Caenorhabditis elegans: one gene and its partner. The gene in region 1 interacts genetically with each later gene. Each region holds a gene or a part of one and is shown in the gene's direction. Other genes may lie near its edges. The genes, in order: W03G1.5 and daf-8.

The links.
Region 2: of W03G1.5 (region 1) and daf-8, changing one enhances a phenotype caused by changing the other (phenotypic enhancement), as found in Caenorhabditis elegans (one study listed by BioGRID).

What each region holds. Positions count from the first base shown.
Region 1 is NC_003282.8:504,272-508,418, reverse strand, and holds W03G1.5 (PB1 domain-containing protein), read left to right. Parts: upstream 1-1,934; coding exon 1,935-3,350; downstream 3,351-4,147. Other genes in the region: pig-1 (Maternal embryonic leucine zipper kinase), read left to right, coding at 1,272-1,361.
Region 2 is NC_003279.8:8,583,871-8,589,600, reverse strand, and holds daf-8 (Smad protein daf-8), read left to right. Parts: upstream 1-2,093; 5' UTR 2,094-2,111; coding exon 2,112-2,204; intron 2,205-2,764; coding exon 2,765-3,241; intron 3,242-3,438; coding exon 3,439-3,638; intron 3,639-3,842; coding exon 3,843-4,235; intron 4,236-4,358; coding exon 4,359-4,642; intron 4,643-4,851; coding exon 4,852-5,045; 3' UTR 5,046-5,177; downstream 5,178-5,730. UniProt on the Caenorhabditis elegans protein: Probably a receptor-regulated SMAD (R-SMAD) that is an intracellular signal transducer and transcriptional modulator activated by TGF-beta-like daf-7 signaling.

The sequences.
Region 1 (4,147 bases):
GTCCAAATAAAATGACTCATCGGTTTCAGCTTCTTGATCGATCTCGTAATTTCCCACTTCATCGACCGGATAACGAATTTCCCCGTCTTCATCAATGAATCCTGTTGTTTCTTCGTCTTCGAGTTCATCTTCTACACCATCTTCCTTTTGTCGTTCTTCATCTGCAGTTGTTTCCGTCTCGAAGTTATCGGCCTGGGTGCTTGAATTTGATGGACCATTGCTTCCCGGCTGGTGAGAACCATGATTATTGTCCGTCGGGTCTGAAAGTAGTTATTTAGTCCCAATAAAATCATTTAAAAAATTTACCTAGAGCAACTATTGTCACGCTTTGAATCAGAAGACTCCGGGGTGCTGAATTCAAAATTCTTCGAACTGTTGTTCTTGGATTTCTGGCCATAATCCTCCGTTTCTAGCCGGGAATGATACAAATCTTTGAAAAACACACTGGAATTAACAATTAACACATATTGATAACATATCACACAAAAAATACAATAAAAAAGGTCAAAAAAATGAAATATGTGAAATACGACGAAGAAAAAACAAAATAAAATCAATAATCAATGTTCTGCTAGTTAGCAGTGGGTTTCTGCTAATTAGCAGTGCTTTTTAGCTAATTAGCAATGACCTGCTAATTAGCAGTGGTTCTCTGCTGATAAACTATGGCTTTACTAGCTTTTGCTGATTAGAAGTGATTTTCTGTCGCTCTGCCGTGACTCCAGTTTATCTGAGTTTAAAAAAACATTTTTAAAAATTGTCTAATTTTGAAACGTTATTTTGAAAAACTTGATATTTTGGTAATTAATGATGAATTCGCGATTTTATCAGTAAATGCGTAAATATACGGCAAAAAAATAATCTAAAAACTGTGAAAAGCTCGGCAAAAAGTAGGGTTGATTCCAAAAGAAAACATTTTTTTTCCGAAAGAAATTAAAACATTTTTTGCCAAAAACACGAAAAAGCTTTGTGTAATTTTAAAAATTGTGTAATTTTGAAACGTTATTTTGAAAAACTTAATATTTTGGAAAATTGTACACCTTCTCATAATTTTTTAAAAGTTGAATTTTAGTGATTTTCAGCAAAAAAAAAACGGAAAAATTGTATTTTTTGCCAAAAAAACCAGAAAACACAGAATACACAAACTAAAAAATGTATGTGCGATTTTCAAAAACTGAAAACATGCCAGAAAAACAAAAATAGCCAAAAAATCCATTTTTACCCAATAAAAATTCCCATTACCTGACCCAAAAAATAATCCATTAAAATTTCAGGTCGGAATCCGCAGAAAGCGTCTGAAAGGTGACGCGTTCATGTACAAGAAGGTGTGCGAGAAGATTCTTCAAATGGCGAAAATCGAATAATTCCTATTATAAATATTCTTGTTTTCCTTTTTCTTAAATTTTCCCCCTAATTTTCGCCCAAATTCTCGTCTTCCTGGGTTTTTGTGTGTGTGTGTAGAATATCAATCCCGTTATCATTATTCTTATTATTATTATTCTTATTTTCTATTGTTCCAAGTTGTTTTCGAAACTGTTTTTTTCGAATTTTTCCCAATCGTGTAATATTTTTTGAATATTCCTCTCTCCTCTCTACTAATCCCTCGAATTTAAGTTTTTGTTTCGTATGCTCTTCTTATCCAATGATACCCCGCCTTTTTTTGGTATGAATGATCAAGATCTCTTTCAAAAGTTGTTTTCCCGCCAGCCACAAATAATCCTTTCCCCCCCCCCCCCAAAAAAAAACACGTGCTTTCTCCACTACACTAGTGAGGTTGCGCAAGTGTTCAGCGCCAAAAACTCTAACTCGTATTTGCTCTAGCCGTCTTACTCTCACAGTGACTCCACCCATTTTGCCGCTGATCTCACGAAAAACAAGTGGCCGAGTATAAAAAGCGAGAGCGGATGCAGTTATTTTGTCATATTGAGTCGCTACTGATGGCTCACGGACATCATCATCACCACCGCCGCGAGCGCCCGGGGCGCGAAGTTTATTTCAAACTTACTGCTAAAGATTCGAAACAGGCTCATCTATTCTCTATCAAGTATGAGAAGGTCGCCGGATTGCTCGAGAAGCTCAAGAAGAAGCTCGCCGAGTTCAAGGTCGACTTTGCCAACATTTTCTGGATCGATCGGGAGAAGGATCAGATTTTCCTGCAGACAGCCGAGGATCTGAAGGAGGCGATCAAGTTCTCGAGGTTTGTGGTGAAGCTGTACGCTGAGGGAACTGGTGAGAAGGATCTGAAGGGTCTGAAGAAGGATCTGAAGAGCGAAGACGATGAGGATGATCGTCGCAGCAGCAGCTCCTCATTCTCGAAGGTGTCTCATGGAAGATCGGAATCCGAGTCGTCTTCGTCAGGATCGGAAAGCAGCGATGACGAAAATGATCGCAAGAAGAAAGGTGAGCGTTCTGGAAGTTCCTCTTCTTCTTCTGGATCTTCCCGATCTCCATCTCGTGGAAGACGTGGAGGACGTGGTGGCCGCTCAGGATCCAGCTCGTCATCATCATCTTCTGAATCACGATCTCCCGGAAGACATGAGGAGCCCGAGAAGCAAGGAAAGAAAGAAGAGTTGAAGCAGCTGAAGAAGCAAAAGTCCGAAGGTGTTGAGCATCGTGGAAGATCGGGGTCACCGGGAGGACGTCGTGGACACGGTGGACGCCATGGATCCCGTTCTGGATCTCCAGGAGGTCGTCATGGTCATGGAGGCCACGGAGGACATGGATCACGCTCCGGATCTCCAGGTGGTCGTCATGGTCACGGAGGCTCAGGGCATCATCGTGGAGGTCGTCATGGAGGCCACGGAAGGCATGGATCGTGCTCCGGATCTCCACGAGGTCGTCATGGTCATGGAGGCCACGGAGGACATGGATCACGCTCCGGATCTCCAGGTGGTCGTCATGGTCACGGAGGCTCAGGGCATCATCGTGGAGGTCGTCATGGAGGCCACGGAAGGCATGGATCCCGCTCCGGATCTCCAGGAGGTCGTCATGGTCACGGAGGACGCCACGGCCCACCACATTGTCCAGGACGCCATGGAAGACATGGATCCCGTTCCCACTCTCCTAGAGGACACGGGCACGGAGGACGTCACGGGCCACCACACTGCCCAGGGCGTCATGGACACCACGGACCACCACACCATCATCACCATGATGGACGTTCTCCATCTCGTCACGGCCACCACCACCATCATCATCATGGATGCCGTCCATTCCCACCGCATCATGGACATCATCACTTTCCACCATTCTGGCCACCATGCCCACCACCACCACCATTCTGGCCTCCACATCGTCGTGGCGGTCACTGCCATCACCATCATCATAATGGACATCGTTCGTTCTCCCCATAAACTCTTAATTCTGATGCTTATTATACTGTGCATAATGTATATTTATTTGTGATCAATAAAGTTGTAAATAAATAAATAAAAAAATCGTGTTATGTTTTTTGTTTTTTTTTCAGATTTTCAGGTGAAATAAAAAAAAGAGAACATTGATTCTTCCAGGAAGGCAATTGCCTAGGCAACTGAACAAACATGAGTTCCTTTCCGTCTGTTTTTTTCCAATTTCCACCAGACTCCTAGGCTTCCCCAAAAGGCCAACTGATCGCTTCCAAAAGGCGAAGACATCTCGACCACTTTCTGTTGATCGACGAACAATTTGAGAGAGAGAGAGAGAGAGAGAGAGGAATTGACACAATGAGTGTGTAGTTTGCTTTTGTTTGAGACACGCAGAGTTTGTAGTATTCGGTGTGGTTTATGCTTTAGAGGTTGCAAAATATGAAATCGGAGTAATGGAAAATTGAAATATGACGAATTGACTAAAGTGAAGTTGGATGTTGGTTGCTATTTATTAGTAACAAATTTCGATATGAAGATGTTAATTTAGTGGCAGTGTTATATAAATTTCAGTCTACTTCGTAGGTTCAAAATTGTTTGCATGTGTACCTAGCAGACAAACATCGGTCAAACGTACTTGTAATAATGCTGTAATACTGGTGTTCCAAGGCTTTTTTCGACAGAAAAAATGTTTTCTGAAAATGTTCGAAACCATTAAAAAATTGAAAAAGGACACTTTTTAGTGTTCGGAAATCAATTTTGAGTCTTCTAACAACAAAATTAACCATTTTAGAGGAGTTTCAAAATTG
Region 2 (5,730 bases), on another chromosome or scaffold:
TACGAAAACGTATAGCAAATTTTGAAAATGTTAACTATGATGTTCGCCAATTTGACCATATGAGTGATTTAATTTAAACCTTTAATTAAAATTTTCATGAATGTGGCCGAGTTTTTTCACATTCGCGGCCACGCAACGCAGAAATATGTACATGGGTACAGTAACCCCTCCTGTCGAGTTAAATATACTCTTATAGGAGAGAGCTCTTAACTATTCACATGTACGAAAAATAATAATATTTGCCAATTTTCTCGCTCTCAAAATTCCATTTGAAAGAGAGAAAAAACTGTTCTCGATACACGAAGAAACATGCGATATATGTTAATCATAAAACCTTCTAACTTTTTATGTCAGTTTCTATTCTCTTCTCGATTCTCTTTACTTACGAATTCTCTTTCTTCTTCTACCCTTCATCTGTTTTGCTCGTTGTGCAATTGTCAGGAGACATTTAATCCGAGTTAATCAAGAATTTTCGAAATTTATCTGAATCCGATTTTGTTTCTCTTCAAAGTCAGAAGAAATCATAAAAATAATATAAAAGAGGAAGAGGATTATACAAATTTAGAAACATTATTCATTCTTTTTAATCATGATATCTCAAAGGATGTTGTTTACTTCAACTTTTGAAAGGATTTTATAGATAAATTGTTATGATTATTTACTTGTTTTGTTTCTTCCTCCAGTATTTAATCTGTGGTCACTTCGTGGTCTTCAAGGCTTTAGGTTCAGCTCATTTTGGTTGTTTAATAGTAAGTCATATGATACGAAGATTCACAGAATGATTTGATAATAATAATAATACGAAATCTCTTTTTCTATAATATTCTCAGAATGTCATACTTCTATAGAATTTATAAATACATTATTACTGTTTTGAAAACCTTTTTTTCCTAATCTATTCGCCGTCAATTTGGCGTTCTTCTAACATTCAGTATTCGAAATCAATGTTCAAAATTTGCTTAGAGAACACCCCAAAATTAGGTTCCGTCCATATCTTGGCTTTTTTCGCCGCCAGATTCAGAAAAAAACTGATTTTCTGTGAGTTCTATTCTATTTTTTTAATTTCTTAAACAATTGGAAATGGTACAGTGTGTTATAAAATAGTTTATTTATTCTGGTTCCTCATGAGAGCACCTCAATAAAAAGTAGTGACGTACATCCATCTGAAACAAAAATAACAATATGACGCCTTCTTAGTAGTACTTATGTTAGTTTCTATTAATGGACTTTTTTTTAAAATAAAAACTCAAAATAGTCAAAGAAATTCTAAAAATGGACATTTGCTAAAATTTAAGAGAAACGATTTCAAAAGATGAAATTATACTTTCCTCCCAACTTTTTTGCTTTTGATAAATTGCTGGCCGAGTTATAACTATTTCTAGGTCACGTATCAGAAGCCGGGTGAGTCTTGAGATCTTCGTGATGCCTTGTCATATCTAAATGAACGAAACTTGAATAAATTAATTAGGAGTCATCGGCTTCATTGAGTTCAGAAAAATTCTGTATAAAACAAAATCAAGATTCAGGTAAATATCTAGATTTTCGATCATTTTGGAACCGCGTTCCTGATATCGAAAAAACTTCGAATCCATTTAAAAGTTGAATAAATCAAATGAAAACTTCCTCTCATTTTTCTTCATTTCTCTCTCTATTTTTCCTTGATTTTATAGGTGATGACGATTCTGATCAACACAAAAATCTTATCACAAACTGTTGTTTCTTATCATTTTTTACACGTTCATACCAGTTTTCATTCCGAGTTCTTGAATTTCATAATTCTTTCATTTCGCCTTTCTATGTAGATATTGAAACTCCGCCCATTTGAGTAGCTCACCTGACTCTTATGACTTACCAGAAGGTTCTATTATCATTTTGGATATAATTCTGTTTTCTGATTCAAATTTTTTTTGAATTTCGGCAATGCACAACGAAAAATATTAATTTCATATATAAAATCATCTGTACTATTTATTATTCTTTATCCCAAATCAGTCCTTTTTTGTGGTCGTTGCTTTTTAAGCTCGGCCCATTTTTTTGGATTTTATTCTAGCCTAACATCTCCTCCCATATTTTTTTTAATTCTTCGAAATTTCAGTTTTAAAACTACGAAAATGGACGATTTTCCTTCACCAGAACCTACTGATCCCAGACTTGAGGCAATGGCTCAAAAAGTGTTAGAAGAAACTATTATCACTGAAGGAGATGTATGTTTTTGAAGATTTGAAACTTTTTTTTTGAATTTTCAACACAAATAGTCTCGCTGGCTACTTTTAAAAATTAAAAAGCCATCTGCAAATTTTAAATTTCATATTCTAGGCCAGCCGGCGAGCAAGTAAGTGAACAAGAAACTTTAAAAAAGAGCAGAGTTGAGAGATACCGTATCTTGATCAAACATCAAATGTCCAGACATATTAGCGAATTTTTATTTTAAAATATTTAGAATCAACCTACATAAACATTAACTTATACGTTTTCTAATTTTAGAATGTGTCTCTCAAATTAGCCTTTTCTTTTAAAACAGGAAACAATTTTTTTTCAAAAATAGTAATACTTAAAGAAACTGAAAGGATATTTACGACAAAAGGTTTTAATGTATGTTGGAGACTCGAAAAGATCCAAAAAAAAAATAAAGAGAAAATTACAGGAAAAGAGAAAAGCCCATATCTTGTTTTTTAAATTTTGTTATAGTAAACTTTTCCTAAGAAATTCAAATCCTTAAAATTGCCCTATTTGAAGTGTCAAGCTATCCTCAACTATTTTTTAGGGAACAATCTACTGGGCTCTCAAAGTTACCCGATTACTCTCTAGAGTAGCTAAAAAACACCAGTGCTTTGAAGCTTTCTACGATGCCGTTATTAAAGGTGATCCAAAAACACGATGCTGTCCTGCACACAATGAGAAACTCATTGGAAACTTTGGACGAGCTATCATGTGTGTCTTGAGAGCATTCAGATTTCCGGTTATTCGATATGAATCTCAAGTGAAATCAATATTAACGTGTCGACATGCATTCAATTCCCATAGTCGGAATGTTTGTCTGAATCCGTATCATTATCGATGGGTTGAACTACCGACGTGCCAAGTTCCACCAATTATTGTAAATAAGGAATTGGATTACGGTGAACCTCCGATTCGGACTGAGGATGCACTGGATGATTGGAATCAAAAGGATTTGAAAGAGGAACAGGTGGTTGCAAGTTGGGATGTGCCAAATGTGACGATGAGAGGAGATGAAATTAAGGTTTGTTGAGAGATGATATCCCTTTTTGAACTCTTTCCAAAATGCAAAATCCAGTAAATAAGTTGCAATTAATCTTTTTTTTTCTTTAGAAATTTTGGAAATTTGCAAACTTACCAAAAACGTTGACTGAAATATTTGCACGTATTTCTACAAAACATCCACTGTCACCCCCTCACATTCAAAAATAAAAATTTCAGCTTCTCTATGATCGATATGCAGCTGAAAACGGAGATTTTCAATATATGAATTACGGAAATTTTGGCTCTTTTGATGGAAGTCCGTGTAGCTCTACCACGATGTCATTAGGATCATCTTTCGCATCGTTACTGCAACAAAGTAATCGACAAGACGACGAGGAACCCGGATATTATAGATCTGGACTCTCATCTCCAGCTAGGTACGAATTTCACTTTTTTGGAATTTTTTTGTTTTTACAATACTGATTCAACAATCTAAAGAACTGGCTAAACTGAAAGTAGAATTCGAAATTCGACCTAAAGGTTGAAAAAAAAATTAAATTTGGCGGTCGGGCCGACGAAACTGTTGAATATTGGAAAAAATTGAAATATTAGTTTAGATCTATAAAACTTTAAATTTACAGTCATGCAGCTTCTCCTCGAGAGTTTATTCCAAACGGAAATGATACAATAAGTCTGGATCAAGAAATGATGGATGATTCCGAAGTTAGTGACATCATGCATTCCGAGAATTTTTCATCAGAGAACAATGGAAACCGAAAGCCAACGTATGCAGATGGACGGCCTATCACACCAATTGAACCTCGACCACTCTATCGATCTTCGGCATTAGAACTTGGAGATCTGTCACGACAGGCTGGAATATATGAATGTGTAGAATATGAAGAGTCGCCGAGTTGGCTGAAATTAATTTATTATGAAGAAGGAACGATGATTGGAGAGAAAGCCGATGTAGAAGGGCATCACTGCCTGATCGATGGATTTACAGCTAGTCGCACTGACTCAGAAACCAGAAGGTTTGTATCATTGACAGAAGCCCTGGTCTAGAACTTACACGCATCTGAATTTTAACTACATTCACTAGTGTACACTGAACTAAAACATAAATTCAAGTAAATATCAAAATAACATCATTACAGCCGTTTCTCGCTTGGTTGGTACAACAATCCAAACCGCTCTCCACAAACGGCCGAAGTTCGTGGTCTCATTGGAAAGGGTGTTCGATTTTACTTGTTAGCTGGTGAAGTCTATGTAGAGAATTTGTGCAATATTCCTGTTTTTGTACAGTCAATCGGTGCAAATATGAAGAATGGTTTCCAATTGAATACTGTATCAAAGTTGCCTCCAACTGGAACTATGAAAGTTTTTGACATGAGATTATTCTCCAAACAGCTGAGAACAGCAGCTGAGAAGACATATCAAGGTGAGAGTGAATTAGTAATTTCTATTATATCATATTACTTTTCGTCCAAAGTACGGCTATTGTGCGATATATCAAAATTGTCAACTAAAAATAATTTATAAAAAGTTTTTGACATTTTTTGGTGTATAGTTTTTACCGATGCAACTTTCGGAGAATACGAATTCTCAAACCTTCTAGTCAGCTACATTTTTTTTCTTCCAACATTTCAGACGTCTACTGTCTCTCACGAATGTGCACAGTTCGTGTTTCGTTCTGCAAAGGTTGGGGAGAACACTATCGTCGTTCAACCGTCCTCCGATCGCCTGTTTGGTTTCAGGCTCATTTGAATAATCCGATGCATTGGGTCGATAGTGTACTCACTTGTATGGGAGCTCCACCACGTATATGTTCATCCAGAACTTAGCTTCTTTCTTTGCCAAAATCCTAATCTCCAATTTGCGTGTGATCAATTTTGTTGATAGAGAAAGGTTTTTATTTTACTCTAAAACATCAAAACGAGTTTTAAAATTTTTTATTTAAAAATTTAGATTTTAAACTTTTTCTGTGTATTTTTACATTGTTTTTGAGGGCTTTAGAACTGCTCGAGATTTCTTTTTGCAGCTTTTAAACGACTTATGTCAACTTTAAAAGTGTTTACAGTAGCCAAATATTCTAGAATCCTTGGAAATGTAATTTTGGTCTGATTTTTTCCGATCGAGCTTGATGGATTAAATTTAATATTATCAAAAAAAAAAACACTTTCAAAAAGCTGCCAGGATATTCACTTAAATATAAACCCCCTAAAATCCTTGGAAATCATCAAAATAGTTATCCGAGCAGTTTTACGTCCGTCGAAAGTAGTGCACAGTTACGCTTAAAATGTTTCAGATCGAAATTTTATTTATCCAGAAAGTGGCTTAGAGTTTTACAGTGATCTGTTTTCAATAAGTAATTTAGTATTTAAAAAAAGTTTCGTTTTGATATTGGAGCGTGAAATCAAAACCTTTTCTTGCGAGAGTGGAGCACTTTACTTGTGAAAGGATCGGTTGAAAGGAGGAGGTTCTAAGAATTGTAGATCTAAATCAAACGTAGGCGGCAATTGCCAAATT